2 linked regions of the Notamacropus eugenii genome follow. The protein of the gene in region 1 interacts with the protein of each later gene in a pairwise test. Links are inferred from orthologs where the notes say so. Each region holds a gene or a part of one and is shown on either strand. Other genes may lie near its edges.

Evidence for each region.
Region 2: the proteins of TLE5 (region 1) and NUDT22 interact in binary tests that used the Homo sapiens proteins (3 or more experiments, as listed by UniProt). The two-hybrid records come from large-scale screens. The link is inferred for Notamacropus eugenii from reciprocal best matches to the Homo sapiens genes TLE5 and NUDT22.

What each region holds. Positions count from the first base shown.
Region 1 is NC_092875.1:68,797,558-68,804,989, reverse strand, and holds the start of TLE5 (TLE family member 5), read right to left. Parts: upstream 3,075-7,432; 5' UTR 2,914-3,074; coding exon 2,887-2,913; intron 2,237-2,886; coding exon 2,139-2,236; intron 267-2,138; coding exon 203-266; intron 1-202. UniProt on the Homo sapiens protein: Transcriptional corepressor. Acts as a dominant repressor towards other family members. Inhibits NF-kappa-B-regulated gene expression. May be required for the initiation and maintenance of the differentiated state.
Region 2 is NC_092873.1:17,062,129-17,069,687, forward strand, and holds the start of NUDT22 (uridine diphosphate glucose pyrophosphatase NUDT22), read left to right. Parts: upstream 1-4,480; 5' UTR 4,481-4,747; coding exon 4,748-5,227; intron 5,228-6,746; coding exon 6,747-6,845; intron 6,846-6,939; coding exon 6,940-7,037; intron 7,038-7,429; coding exon 7,430-7,523; intron 7,524-7,559. Other genes in the region: FERMT3 (fermitin family homolog 3), read left to right, coding at 485-626, 716-895; TRPT1 (tRNA 2'-phosphotransferase 1), read right to left, coding at 1,317-1,390, 1,553-1,663, 1,740-1,796, 1,882-2,056, 2,720-2,889, 3,451-3,532, 3,850-3,924. UniProt on the Homo sapiens protein: Hydrolyzes UDP-glucose to glucose 1-phosphate and UMP and UDP-galactose to galactose 1-phosphate and UMP. Preferred substrate is UDP-glucose.

The sequences.
Region 1 (7,432 bases):
AAAGTTGCCTTTGTTGTGCTGGGCCTGGGGCCTCTGAAATCCTCCCCTGGAAGCTCTAACTGAAAATCAAAAACATATGTTTCTACCACTGCCGCAGCCACGAGTGTGGGCCTCGAATGTCGCCCTGCTCCTGACCTCACCTGAAAGGGGGGCAGAGGGAATGACACTAGTTCTGCAGGGAGTAGGGGGGCCTGGGACATACCATGACGTAGTGACGCTGCATCTCCGACTTCTCACTGGCCAGCTTGTCACACTCCAGTTTCAGGCTTTGGAAAGAGAAAAACAGGAGGAGGCCTGTCTGTGGGCGCCATTTACAAAGCACTCCCTGATCTACAATGGTTTGCAAAGCAGGCCTCCTGTTTATAAAGTGTCTTACTGGTTTACAAAGCACTTCATGGGGTCTGGAGAAACTTAGAGTGAATTCAGAATGTGGGCAAGGGAAAGGGGAAGGAGAAACCCCCCACAAGCCAGTGGGGTCTGAGCCAAGGATCTATTGGATCTCCAGCAGGAGAACAACAGCAGGCCAAGCCTCTGAAGGCTTTCCTGGCATCAGAGATGGGTTCCTGAGCTCAAAAGCACCTGATGCTCAAGTAGATGGGAGGGAAGCAGCAACCCCTCCTACAGGGGCCCGGGGGACCCTCACTCCCCAGCCCAGGCCCTCCCATTTCTTTATTTAGAAATCAAAAAAGCCTCATTTCCATGTTATCCGGTGCAATAAACAAGCCCAGTCTCTGGGGGCCCCTCCCAGGCTCTAGAGGGCCATAATTCTTGGCCTTGGGGGGAAGAGAGGAGAGGAAGCTAGAGCAGGCAGTAGGACACTGCTGTGTTGGGAAAGCCACATCTTACCCCCTCCCCAAAAATTTTTTTAACAGAAGGAAGGAAAGAAATTCTATTACCCTTCTGGAAAATAATAACCCCTCATCAATTTCCTGGTAATAAAAATGGGGAGAGGGCAGCCTTCTATTGGTTAATCTACTTAAATTCAATAAACCAGGTGATTCTAGAAGCCAGCAGGGAGACATCTTCAGTTCTGGCCCGACCCAATTTGGCATAACCAGGGGTGGGGGGAGGGGAAGTATGGTTAATCATAATTATTTCATTTCTCTAATGCTTTCAGGTCTCCAAAATGCTTTTCTCAACCCAAAAAGGAGGGGGTATAAAGATTATTATACCACCTCCATCTAAAAGATGGGGAAAATAAGGCCTAGGAAGGGAGGAGCTTGTGCAAGGCCACAGACCTTGAACATCAGACCTCCTGGAAAAGGGAAGCTGAACTCATACTCTACCCCAGCCCCATTTTTCCACCTCAGGGACTCATCCTATTTCCTGCCTAGGACATCCCAAAGCCCACTGTCTCCACCTTCCTTCCCTACAAACAAGGCCCTGATGTCCCTAGACTCATAGGCAAGCTGCTGCACAAAAGGTGGGCCAGAAGATGAGGTCAGGCCTGGGAGTGGAAAGGGAGGGGAGATCTCAAGTGGAACTGAGGCGTGAGCCTGGGACTGATGGGGGTAGCAGAAAGGTCAGCTCAGGGGGCATTCACTCCCGCCAGCCTTGGAAAGCAAGGAAGGTTTGGGTCAGATAGGAGAGCCATCCCCAGGCAGCCGGTTCTAAGAATAGCAACATTTCATATTTATATAATGTTCTACACAATGGCCAGGGACCTTACAAGGGAGTCGCCAGGAAGAGGCAGAGAAGGACCTAGGCTCAGATTCCTACTCTGTTACTCTACATGACTGTGGGCAAGTCATTTAGCCACAGGCTTCATCTCTGTAAAAGTGAGAAGGGGGTCAGGCGAGATGGCTTCTAAGTTCTGAATCTATTAAATGAGGCAACTGCCGCCAGGGAGGTGGAAGAGATTCACCAAGGTCACAAAGGAGATGCTGTTAGAGCTAAATAAAAAATCTGGGTTCCCTATCAATAAATTCAAATCCTAGAATCGGGAAAGACTTCTGGTGGTCACCTAGTGCGTACCCCCAGAAATGGGGAAGCCCAAGCTCGGAGACAGGACTCGGCCAAGGTCACACACACTCAAGGTGTTGGCCTCCTCTTGGGATCCTAGCACAGGGTTCTGCTTAGGCAGGGAGGGGAGGAGAGCAGGGTACCCCGGCAGTCCCGGGCTCCCCAAGGGGGCTCACCTGTGGTACTGTGCTTGTAGGAGCTGAAATTCATCTTTGATCCGGTCACAGGAATCTGAGGTCGTGAACTTTAGCTGCTGGGGCAGGTGTGAGGAGCCCTTGAGGAAGGTTAACAGGGAAGGTTAGGGCACAGCCTCCCCCCACCCCGGCCATGTGGGGGAGGCTGGAGTCCAGGTTCGGCCAGAAGACTGTTCAGGAATCTGAGCATTCCCCAGGCAGAACCTCTCTCCCCGGGGCCTGAGGAAAGGATGGGATTGGCTTGGGGGGGGCACACGGTGGGAGCCCCCTCCTCCAGCCCAGCCTCCCTCCGGGCTGCTCCCACCATCCTCATCCTCTCCTCCTCAGGGCACTTCCTGGGCCCGGCCTGCCCCGACAGGGCTGATGTTTACATACTCAGCTCCCGCCCCCCCATTTCCTGCTCCCCCCCACAGGGCCATGCACATGGAGGGGGGGTTATTGCAGCAGGGCCGCCCCATCATTGTTTTAGAATGAAAAAAATCAAGCCTTTTTTTCCCGATCGCAGACCGTCCCCCCTCCATCCCTGGGCCCCCCACTTCCCCGCGGGGCCCCGGAAGGGGGATTAGAAGCCAGAGAAGGGGCCGGGGAATCGTCACGAGGGGGGTGGCGACGTTACCACCGGGGGTCGCATTTTAAAGGGGCGCAGCCGAGGAAGCAGCGGGGCCCCAGGGGGCGGCCCCACCCCAGCCCCCCCGCCGCGCCGATCTCCGCCGCTCCCCCGCCCCCTTACCGAGTGCCTGCTTTGTGGAAACATCATGTCACTCGTGGGGGGCGGGCAGTGAGGGGAGGGGGGAGGGCTGCGGGCCGAGGGAAGGCAGAGGCCGCCGCACCAACGACGACGCCCCCGCCGCCGCCTCCTCCCCGCCGCGGGCCCGCTCCGGCCCCGGCCCGACTCCTCGGCCCCGGCCGCCGCCGCCGCCTTTGTCCCCGCCCCGGCGCCGCCGCTCAGCGCCGCCGCAGCGCGCCCCGGCCTCCCGCCGCCTCCTCCGGGCCGCCCGCCCTCCGCCGCCGGGCCCGCTCCCGCTCCGGGCCGCTTCCTGCCTCCTGCGGCCCTCCCGGGCTGCCGCTCCTATTGTCTAATGGCGGCCGCCGGCGGCCGGGGGCGGGGGCGCGGGGGAGGGGGGCTGCGGCAGCAGCGGCAGCAGCAGCTCCGGCCTCGGCTCCCTCGGTCCGGCTCCGGCCTCAGCCGAGCACCAGCAGCACCACCTGCTGCCGCCGAGCCCGCGGCCTGCACTGGGGCGCGCGCGCGGGGAGGGGGCGCGTGCGCGTGCGCGGAGGGCGCGTGCGCGGAGGGGCGCGCCCCCGCCGCCGAGCTCCGCGGCCCCGCCGCCCCGCGCCCGCGCTCGGGCCTCGGCTCCGGCCCCGGCCCCGGCTCCAGCCCGGGCCCCAGGTCCTCGAGCCGCCGCCGCCGCCTCTTCCCTAACCCCGGGGTGCCAGGTTCTCTGCTCCCCCACGCGCCCCCCGCGGCCTCGGACGCCCAGGCCTCGTTCTCACCCCGCCCCCACCCTCCTGCCCACACTCGCAGCGTTCTCCCCGCCTCCCTTCCCTCCCCTTCCCTGACCTCATTCGGAGCCGGCTTCCCCTCCCCCTCCCCTTCCTCCCTCCCCCTCCCCTTCCTCCCTCCCCCTCCCCTTCCTCCCTCCCCGTCCCTCTCTCCTCTCCCTCCCCTTCCTCCCTCCCCGTCCCTCTCTCCTCTCCCTCCCCTTCCTCCCTCCCCCTCCCTCTCTCCTCTCCCTCCCCTTCCTCCCTCCCTCTCCCCTTCCTCCCTCCCCCTCCCTCTCTCCTCTCCCTCCCTCTCCTCCTCTCCCTGTCTCACCGTCTCCTGTCTCCCCTCCCTTTCCCTCCCTTCTCTCCCCCCTCTCCTCTCCCTCCCCCCTCTCCTCTCCCCTCCCTCTCCTCTCCCCCCCCTCTCCTCTCCCTCCCCTTCCTCCCTCCCCCTCCCCTTCCTCCCTCCCTCTCCCCTTCCTCCCTCCCCCTCCCTCTCTCCTCCCCCTCCCCTTCCTCCCTCCCCCTCCCTCTCTCCTCTCCCTACCTCTCCTCCTCTCCCTGTCTCACCGTCTCCTGTCTCCCCTCCCTTTCCCTCCCTTCTCTCCCCCCTCTCCTCTCCCTCCCCCCTCTCCTCTCCCTCCCCTTCCTCCCTCCTCCTCCCCTTCCTCCCTCTCCCTCCCCTTCCTCCCTCCCCGTCCCTCTCTCCTCTCCCTCCCCTTCCTCCCTCCCCCTCCCTCTCTCCTCTCCCTCCCCTTCCTCCCTCCCTCTCCCCTTCCTCCCTCCCCCTCCCTCCCTTCTCTCCCCCCTCTCCTCTCCCTCCCCCCTCTCCTCTCCCCTCCCTCTCCTCTCCTCCCCCTCTCCTCTCCCTCCCCTTCCTCCCTCCCCCTCCCCTTCCTCCCTCCCTCTCCCCTTCCTCCCTCCCCCTCCCTCTCTCCTCCCCCTCCCCTTCCTCCCTCCTCCTCCCTCTCTCCTCTCCCTACCTCTCCTCCTCTCCCTGTCTCACCGTCTCCTGTCTCCCCTCCCTTTCCCTCCCTTCTCTCCCCCCTCTCCTCTCCCTCCCCCCTCTCCTCTCCTTCCCCCCTCTCCTCTCCCCTCCCTCTCCTCTCCCCCCCCTCCTCTCCCTCCCCTTCCTCCCTCCCCCTCCCCTTCCTCCCTCCCTCTCCCTCTCTCCTCCCCCTCCCCTTCCTCCCTCCCCCTCCCTCTCTCCTCTCCCTCCCTCTCCTCCTCTCCCTGTCTCACCATCTCCTGTCTCCCCTCCCTTTCCCTCCCTTCTCTCCACCCTCTCTCCCATCCCCCTTGCCCCCCTGCCCTTTCCTTTCCCTCTCTCCATCTCCTGATTGGGGTAGAATCCAGGCATCCCAGTGTCTTTGTTCGTGAGACCTGCAGGTTTTCTAGTATCACATTTTCACAGACCACACATCGAGCCTTAAAGAGGGGAAAGGACTTCTCCAAGGTCACAACATAAAAGTTAGCAGTGGGGGAATGTGGTCTCCAGACTCTCAGCCTAGGCTGTCTCAGGCACATCCCCCAAGCCCTGCGTCCTAGATCAGGCAGCTCCCTACATGACACCCCATCCTTTCTCCCTCCCTAGGTTGCAGTTTTTGTCTCCCAGTGTTAATATGAAGAATATAACAGGGCCTTAGAGCTGGAAGAGACCTTAGATTATGGAAAGAATACAAAGTTAGAGCTGATAAAGCCCTGAGAACGCAGAATGTTGGAGCTGGGAGGCAGGGTCCAACTCCCTCCTCTCACAGATAGGGTCCCAGGAGAGGGAAAGGATAATAATAACTCATATTTAGGCACTGAACACACATCTATTATCTCCTTTGATCTTTAGTAGCAACCAGGTGAGAAATAGATACTACAGGCTTCACTCCCATTTTATAGACAAAGTCAGTGAGGTCCAGAATGGGAAAGGGATTTGATTTGCTTGTGCTCAAGACATGAACATCAGAGAGATTTAGATGAAGGTCCTTCTGCTGGGGGTGTGCAGCACTCTCTTTATTAGACTAGGGTTAGATTAGGGTTAGCTTTAGGGCCTGTCCTGAGATTTGCATAAGGTAAACAGGTCTAGACAGGGATACATCAGGACACTTACCTTGCCTCCCACTCCAGACATTATGTCTGGTTTCTCCTCCCTAAAATTTAAGTTTAGGGCTCATTCTCAGAAGCTCCCCTTCCGTAGGTCCCACTAATAGATATCTTAAGAGACAAGGGGTTTGGCCTGTGTTGGAGGAGACCAAAAACCTCTCTCTTTAGCCTTTATCAGATTTTTTTTTTCCTGTCTGCCTGGGCCCACAGTTACAAATTAAATTGGCTTCCTGGCAGGAGCCCCCTGACACCACTATGGCTGGCTGCTAATAGATGGGTCCCGGGCTGGCTTGGAGCAGAGCAGACCCTTTAATCAGAAATTAGCAAATGTGGCATACTGCCTAGAATGGCTCCCAGAGCCCCAACTCAGGGAACCTGACAGGGGAGGGATGCCGCATGACCTGCCTCAGTTTCCCAAGGACAGAGGGCTTTCTCTGTTTAACCTGTTCTAAACTTCTTTGCACCTTGAACTCCAGTTGGAGGCTCCTGTCTCTGCCTCCCTCCCTGAGCTAAGAGATCTTTACCTCAAGCAGATTCCCTTTTTCCCTTCCTCTAAGTCTGCTCATCATCCAGGGAATTCTAGTGGAGGGACCAGACCAAGTCCGCAAGTCCCACCTCTTCCTTTTCATCCTATCTCCGGTTTCTGCAAACTCTAGGCAGCAAGAGGAAAGCTTTTTCTGTGGTTTATATAAACATATATTAAATGTCTTACTGTGTGCAGACGTGCAGTTTAGCTAAGACAGAGTCCCAACCCTTCTGGGCCTCACGTCTAGGTAGGGGGTAAACCTTTATTTGTGTCTTTGATTGCTTTGGCACTTTTGTGAAACTTACCGGACCCCTTTTCAGAATAATGTTTGTAAATACATAAAACAAAATATGTAGGATTACAAAGAAACCAATTATAATGAAATAGTTGTCCTACTATTTAAAAAAAAACAAATTCATGGACTCAAATTTAAAACCTCATGGTCTAGTGAGAAGATCTGACATTCAGATAAGAATACAGAGTGGTCTATGAAAAATCCCTTGGAGCAGGGCTCTTAATTCTTTTCTGTGGGTCCTAGACCCCTTTGGCAGTCTGGTGAAGCCTATGGACCTCTTTTCAAAAGAAAGTCTCTAAATAATTGAAAGAAATGTTAAATTTTAGTTAGAGGTCAGAGATAATAAAGATGTAATTTCTTTCCCATCCAAGTTCACAGACCTCCTGAAATCTATCCAGCTCCATGGACTTGCTGCCTTTGAAAGTTACAAAATACCCTTCTGTGTAGTCTAATGGGAAAAGCCTGTTACTGAAGGGGTACCATGAGTAAAGGCGCAGAAATGGGGAAGGCAAAGGAATATTGGTCCATTTTGGCTGTGTGCATGGAGAGGAGTAACCTGAGCACCTGCTGACCAGATCATGAAGGGCCCTGAGTGGCAGGCAAAGAAATTTGTATTTTACTCCTTGGGTATCTAAGTAGGCCCAGTGCATAGAGCATCATCAGCCCTGGTGTAAAGGGAACCTGAATTCAAATGTAGCCTCAGACACTTATTAGCTGTGTGACCTTGGTTAAGTCACTTAACCCTGATTGCCTTTAAAGAGTGGGGGGAGTCAGTGAAGATTTTTGAACAGAGTGGCATGACCAGATCTATGTGTAAGGAGAGGGATGGGAGTGAAACAGACATTTATTAAGCACCTATTATGGCACATAATCTCA
Region 2 (7,559 bases), on another chromosome or scaffold:
TCAGCTAGAGTTAAGGGCCTTGAGATGACACTAGGGCTCAGCTGAAGGAACTGAGTGTTGAGCCTGGAGAAGCGTGGGGGTGAGGGGATATCCCAACTGTCTTCAGGTATCTGCTGGGGTTTAATATGTGGAAGAGGAGTCAGAAGGCAATGTTAAAGACAAAGTAATGTGGCTTCAACGGTGTGGGACATGGGGGAGGGGAGACTTCCAACCCAAAGTATCTGAAAGTAGCCTGACTGTCTGGAGAGGTAGTGAGCTCCCCATCCCTGGAGGTCTTCAAGAGGACATGGGACAACTGTTAGTCAGGGAGGCGATTCTTACTCTGATACAGGTTGGGCCAGATGATAAGGTCCCCTCCAACCCGGAGGGTCTGTGATCTTGTCTCAAGGGACCTCCTCCCCCTCCTCTGATGAGTCCTTGGAAGGGGCCTTCCTCCCCCAGCTGGACACTGAGAGAGCTCCTTCCCCCCTTCCCACACCCTCAGGTTTAAGGGTAGCAGGAAGGATGAGATCCTGGGCATTGCCAACAATCGCCTGATCCGCATCGACCTGGCCGTGGGTGATGTCATGAAGACTTGGCGATTCAGCAACATGCGCCAGTGGAATGTCAACTGGGACATCCGCCAGGTGGGAAGGGGGCTGAGGGATGGAGGGGCCACACTGGCTGCTGCCCTGCTCTCTCTGCTCCCAATCACACGTTGGGGTCTGGCCCGCAGGTGGCCATTGAATTTGACGAGCACATCAACGTAGCCTTCAGCTGTGTGTCCGCCGGCTGCCGAATCCTGCATGAGTACATCGGTGGCTACATTTTCCTGTCCACCCGGGAGCGCGCCCGAGGCGAGGAACTGGATGAGGAACTCTTCCTGCAGCTCACAGGGGGTCATGAAGCCTTCTGAGACGCCCAGAGGGCCTTCTCCATCCCCCACTGTCTCTCACTGTCACTGGCTCTCTCACAACAGCTTCCCCTCACCCCATTTACCCTCTCCCCCAACACACACACTGTAACCATCACTCCTGGTGCCCTCTTGGGGAGGCCAAGCCTCGCCCCATGTCTTGTTCCTCCCCACCAGGGGCTACCCAAAGGCTGCTCATCCCTGCCTAGGGTGTTGGTGTTCTCTTGCTCTACAAATGACTGAGGCAAGCTGAGGGCCCCAGGATCCAACTGCCTTCTGACTGCCACACTCCAGGGCAATCTTTGGACTCGGGACTGCAGAGATGCTGCGATACAGCCCTAGAAAGATTTGCTTTGTTTGTTAGTTTTTATTTGTCTTTTTATAAATAAATATTTCCTACTTGGACACTCCCCATATTTCTTCTTCAGCTGTTGGTTGAGGCACCCTGGTGACTGCTCTGACCCTCTGTCTCCTCTTCAGCCAGAGAAAGAGGCCTCCCTGCAGCAGGGAAAGGGTTAGGATAAGGAGAGGGGAGATGATGCTCAGGGTGGGAAATGGAGGTGGTGGAAGCAGGCAGAAAGGAGTCTGAGATCAACAGGCCATGGCCCACCCTCAGAGCCTGGCTTAGGGACCTGGAAATCCAAAGAGGAGGGCACTCACTTGGAGAGCCCAGCTGTAGGGCTTCTTTGAAGTACTTGGGAAGCAAGAAACCCTTGGCATCCCCCGGAGTCAGGATCACCCCATTGGCTGAGCGGAAGAACAGGATTCCCTCTGTGGGGAAGGGTCAGACTTCAGGCTGTGTCCTCCTGCCCTCTCCCCCATCCTCCTCCTGGCCAGCCAAACTCACCGGCCAGTGCCAAGGGTCCATTGATGAATACGGCCACCTCACAGTCCTGCCGCATGCCTAAGGGACAGAGTCACAAGTGGCACCAAGGCACCCCGGGATTCTCCCAATGCTCTGGGAAGGGGTTGGAGTATGGTCTACTAACCACTGAGGACATGGGGTTCTCCAGGCAGGCCGGGGGACAGGTGAATGTGGGTTCTCCCACGACGAGACAGACCCTCCTGCCGGATGGAGGGCCAGTGGCGCCGGTACGTTCCATGGACAAGAATGGGAGGTAGGTCTTGTGGGGTTCTTAGGGGTGTCAGCTCCAGGTCAGTCACCTGCCATGAGGAACAATGAGGGGGTCGCTTCAAAATCTGGGGGTAGCCCTTATCCTCCCTAATTTAACTACCACCTTTTCCTTGAAACAGTCCTGGGAAATACATAGTATGGGAATTATAGCTGTCACTTTACAGACAAGGAAACTGAGGCAGAGACACTTTCCCAACTTCACAAAGTGAGGAAAGTCTTTGAGCTAAGATTCGATCCTAGATCAGAGATTTAGAGCTAGAGAGGGCCTGAAAATCCACTGAGTCCAACCTCCTGTTTTTGCAAGAGAGGAAACTAAGGCACAGAGAGTTAAGGGAGTGCCCAGAGTCACACAGTTACAAGAAACATCATTCTGGTCCTTCTGACTCCAAGTCTAGAACCTACTGGGAGCAAAGCCCTGAGAGCCCTGAACCAGACAGTGGGACAGCAAAGACAGGGAGCCTCCATTCTCCCGGACAGATTCTCTCCACTCCCCCCGTGCTCTCTCCTGCCCCTTCACTCCATCTCCCTCTTCCCCTGCATCCCCCCACATCCAATCCACCTCCTAAGTGCTCACACACAGACGCACACACAGACACACACACACATACACACATCCAATCTGCCCCCTATGTGTGCACACACGCACACACACATGCAAGCAAACACACAAGCCCCCAAGGCTGAGTATCTACCTGCAAGGAGTGACCCTGGTTGGCTCGAATAAAGCCCCAGGAGCCTGGGGGCCCAGGGTGCCAGGCAAACCTCTGCTTTTCATTGGTTTCCACCACACGGTGCACATCATCCAGTGAGAAGCCCTGGAACTGTGGCAGCTGCAGAAGGGCATCCAGGGGCACAAAGCCGTCTGTGAGGGAAGAATACAAGTCCCATCTCTTGCCCAGAACTGGGCCCACACTTGATCCATCCACATTTATTAAGCACTGTGGGCACACAGAAGGCATCTGATGAATGCTCAGCTGTCCACCCCTCCTCCCAGCTGACCCATCAGGGCACTGTAACTGGCCAAGTTGGGGACAGGCTGCAGAGGCTGAGGAGGGGGTTTAGAGTAGGCCTTTCCTGCACTCACTGACACTTATGTAACTTTCTACAGAGCATCTCCTGCTCGGCCTCTCATCTAACCCTCCCAGCAGCCCTGGGGATGGGAGCTAACACAGGAGGAAACTGAGGCTAAGTCATTTGCCCAGTCACCCCGTCACCCAGTGTCTAAAGGCAGGATTTGAGTGGAAATCTTGGCTTCTGATCTAAACCCTTGCCACCTATGCAATCTCTGTTCCCCTTGTAGGGCAGCAGGATTCATTCCATTGATAGCCTGTGTCATTATGGCTCCTGTGGGGGCACCACCACCTCCTAGGCCTCCCTCTGACCCTGAGGCTTCTGCCACAGCCTTCTCATGCTCAAGGCTTACCTGAGCCAATGGGCAGCCCCATCTTAACAGCTCCATGACGCAGGGCATAGGACAGAGCCTTGGATAGCCGTACATCTGGGTCCTGCAACAGCCCAAATGCCAACAAAGTTTCTTCCTTTTTCCACCAAAGGTGCCCAAACCCTCCTGCTCCCCAAAAAGCCTGCTGGATAGCAGTCACTGTGGAAAGACCCCTCCCCTGATGTGCCCCAGAGCTGGGGGGGAGGGGAAGTGTCCATCAGTCCTTGAACCTGTAGGCCCCCCAGGGCAGGCCTGTTGGACTAGCTGCTCTGGCTCTGAGAATCTTAGCCCCCCCACCCCCACCCTGCCTTTGGGCAGAGAAGCCACTTCCACCAACTGCTCTCTTCAGTTCAGCCACCAGTGGAGTCCATGGGCTGTCACCTGTTCTCGGGGTCTGCGGGCTCTTCTTCCCCTGGGCCCAGCTTGCTGGGAGGTCTGTCCCACAGAGGGGTTCATGCCCCTCACTCTTCCAGGAACCTAGGAACACAGGATTTAGAGCTATGAGATAATATATGAGATATATACTACCTGGTCTGTCTACCTCATTTAACAGAACAGGAAACTGAGACCCAGAAAGTGAAAGAAAATTGTCCAAAGTCACAGAGGTCATCTGGGGCACAGCCAAGACTCAGAGACCAAGATTAGGACTCCCAATACAAGGTATTTTCAGCTCTATCCCATACCAGGGCTGAAGGGAGAGATGGGGGGCTGCCCTCTCCCCATTCCCGTTGCAACCTGGCTGTGAGTTGGGGGAACCCTGGGCAGGGTAGAACTGAGGCTAGGGCAGAGACCCCAGAGATCAGAAAGGCAACAGGGCCCAGTGCCCCCAGGGCTTCAGTTTCCCCATCTAGAAAGGGGGGGGTGGCGTGGAACAGATCATCCCCAAGGGCCTGGAAATCTAGTAGGGGCCAATCCTCACCAGCCCCGCCAAGTGCCTGCCCACCGGATCTGGGCAGGGAGTGAGCCAATGAGGGATGGGGGACGCAAGGAGTGAGGCTCTCCTTCCGCTCTCGTTAAGGGAGGGGAGGAGCTAGACCCAGCTGAGCTGGAGGCAGGAAGCGGGGCAACGGTAACTGTAACAGCGATTGTAACCGTAGCGGCAGCAGCCACGACTGCGAGCTGCACACAGAGTCAGTGCTGGACTGAGGCTAGGGACATCCAGGGACACCACCAAAGGCCGGCAGTTGGCAGGAGATGCCCTGCAGGGCAGTGGTAACTCTGCCTCATTTCCCTCATCCAGACCTTGCATTCCCACCACCAGCCTCGTCCCCTCCATTCTATGGATCCCGAGGTCTCCCTGCTTGTCCAATGCCCACCGGGCGGGCTGGCTGAAGAGCAGGTACGGGCAGAGTTGAACCCAGCTTATGACCGGCGCCCACTGCCCGGGGGGGAGGACTCCATCACTGCCATTTGGGATGCCCGCCGGCAGGCCCAGCCCTGGCTCTTCAACGCTCCCAAGTTTCGACTGCACTCGGCAGTCCTGGGGCCCCCTGACCCTGGAGGACCCTGTCTGACGCTGCGTATGGGCCTCACTTCCTACCAGGACTTCCTAGGCACCAACTGGGCTAGCTCGGCAAGCAGGCTGCGATGCCAGGGGAAAACTGACTGGGGAGATGCCCAGGCCTACTTAGCAGACCCACTGGGAGTGGGTGCCATGCTGGGCACTTCAGATGGTTTCCTGGTCTTTCTTCGCCGGTCTCTGAGGGTGGCTGAGGCCCCTGGGCTGATAGATGTGCCAGGGGGGCATCCTGAACCTCAGGTGAGCACCTACATCCTGAAGAGTCAGGCAAAGATAGCCACTGGCCTTCTAGAGCCCAAACAAGCCAGGAACTAGAAGTCTTTCAGTTGAGGAAACTGAGGCAGACAGGGTCACACACATAGTAAGTATTTGAGGCAAGATTTGAACTCAGATCTTCCTGACTTCAAGCCCAATGTGCCCCCTTGCTGCCCACCAGAGGAGTTTCTATTTGATACTTTTGGTAATAGGGAGCTGTTGAAAGTTACTGAGAACAGGATGGGGGCATCATGACCAGACCTGGGTTTTCAGAAAATCCCTTTGGTGACTGAGTGGAGGATGGGTTGGAGTGGCAAAAGGCTTGAGGCAGACAAACACCCCACCCCACAGCAGCTACTGCAATAGTCCAGGGGTGAGGTGGTGGGATGGTGAGAGTCAACACTACGGTGATAACGCTATGTAAACAGAGAGAGCGGGGAAGGTTGTAAGAGAGACTGTGGAGGAAGAAACAGAATTTAGCAATTGGTTAGCTATTTGGATTTGGGGTGAGAATGAGGAGTGTCATAGATGACCCACGAGGCTCCTGAACCTGGATAACTTAAAAGATGTTGGTGACTCAGCAAAAACAGGGAAGTGGAGGCGGTAAGTATGTCTTAAATCCCTACTGTGTGCTGGGCACTGAGCCAACAAGTATTTCTTAAATGACTACTGTGTGCTAGGCACCATGCTAAGTGGTAGGTCTAGAGGAGTGATGAGTTCCATTCTGGGGATGTTGCATCTACTGGCTAAGGGGCATTCACTCAAATGTCCAATGAGGGACCAGAGGGCTGGAGAGCGGCTAGGGTGAGTGATGAACTTCAAAGAAGGGGAGAACAGAATGTGTTCAGTGGAGAAAGGAGGAGCGATCTAGGACTGTGACTAGCAGGGCTGGGGGGATCTGAGGAAGGTTTTGGAAGGAGAGCAGCCCCTGGGGAGGTGTGCAGGCAGCCACGGAGCGGGGAGAGTAGCCATGAGGCACGGTTGCCTCGCTCACAATTGGCTCTTTTGACCTGTTCATGTGTTTATCCGTTTTGCTGAGCTGATGATTTTTCTTCTTTATTTGATGAGTCTATGGCTAAAGAGCTGAGGTCAGAGGAGAGAAGAGCCCTCCTGGCTGTGTGGAGCTCTAGGCAGCTCTCTGAGACTTAGTGGCCTGCATTGCCTGCAAGAGCTTCTTCAACCAGGAAATCCCAGGTCCATTCTCTATCCCTTTGATTCTTTGTTGCCAGAAACCAATGGCTTATGAGGGAGTTATGTGAAAAGGAAGGGTGTGTGAAACGCAAAGTCAAAGCCAGGCCTAGAGCCTCAGGTCTCCTGGTCTCTAGAGCTTGTCTCTTTTCTGGTCAGCCTGTTGCCCTTCCTCTGATGTGCTTCAGTGGGGCTGGGACAAAGGGAGTAGAGCAAGGCCGGGTCCACCTGGCAAGTCTTCTTGGAGCTGCGGACTTCAGCCTGAGAGGCTAGGCTGCCCTGGGGAGGGGAGCGAGCTGAGGCTGCCTCCTTGTAGGCCCTGTTTCCTGGGGAGATGCCCCGGCACGAGGATCTGCCCGAGGACCTGCTGGTTCCGGAGCTGTTCTCCTCCATCTTGCAGGAGATCCGAGATGAGGTGAGGTGCTGAGCCTGGGGCTGGGAGGATGTGGAGAGTGGGGAGAGCAGGAGCTGAGGCAATGACCCCTGACCTCCGACTCTACCCCCACCAGGTAAATGTGCCACTATCCACTTTGAGCCATCCCCTCCTTCTGGGCATTGCCCGAAATGAGACCAGTGCAGGAAGAGCCAGTGCTGAATTCTATGTCAGGTAAGTGGACATCATATGGGGAACTGTGCTTCCTTCTTCTGAGGGACAGAATTAGAAGTAGGAATAGGCAAACTAGGGAGGGGATCAGGGCACAAACATTTTAAAATGTGACTTTTTTTAGAAGGTCTTATTTTTAATACAACCAAATCCTGCTGTGTGTGAACTACCAGGCTTTCTTCTGCCATCAGCCAGATTCCACTTTTCAGGGAAAGCTTGATGTCCCTAGGGGCACAGCATCATAGAAGGGCTCTTCTAGGAGAGGCCTGAAGTCCTGGGCTTGGAAAATTGAGATCTGGGCACCTGGAGCCTCAGGGCAGGATGGAGCTTGGGACCCCTGGCCAGAGTGGGTCTGCCCTTCTCCCAGAAGCTTGTCTCTCCCCCTCCTCCTTTAGCTGTAGCCTGACCTCTGAGCAGGTGAAGACCCTCTATATGACCGGAGGACCGGAAGCTCATGAGTCCACTGGAATCATCTTCATGGAAACGCAGGTGAGAGTTGGGAGACAGGATGCCTTGGCTGATGCT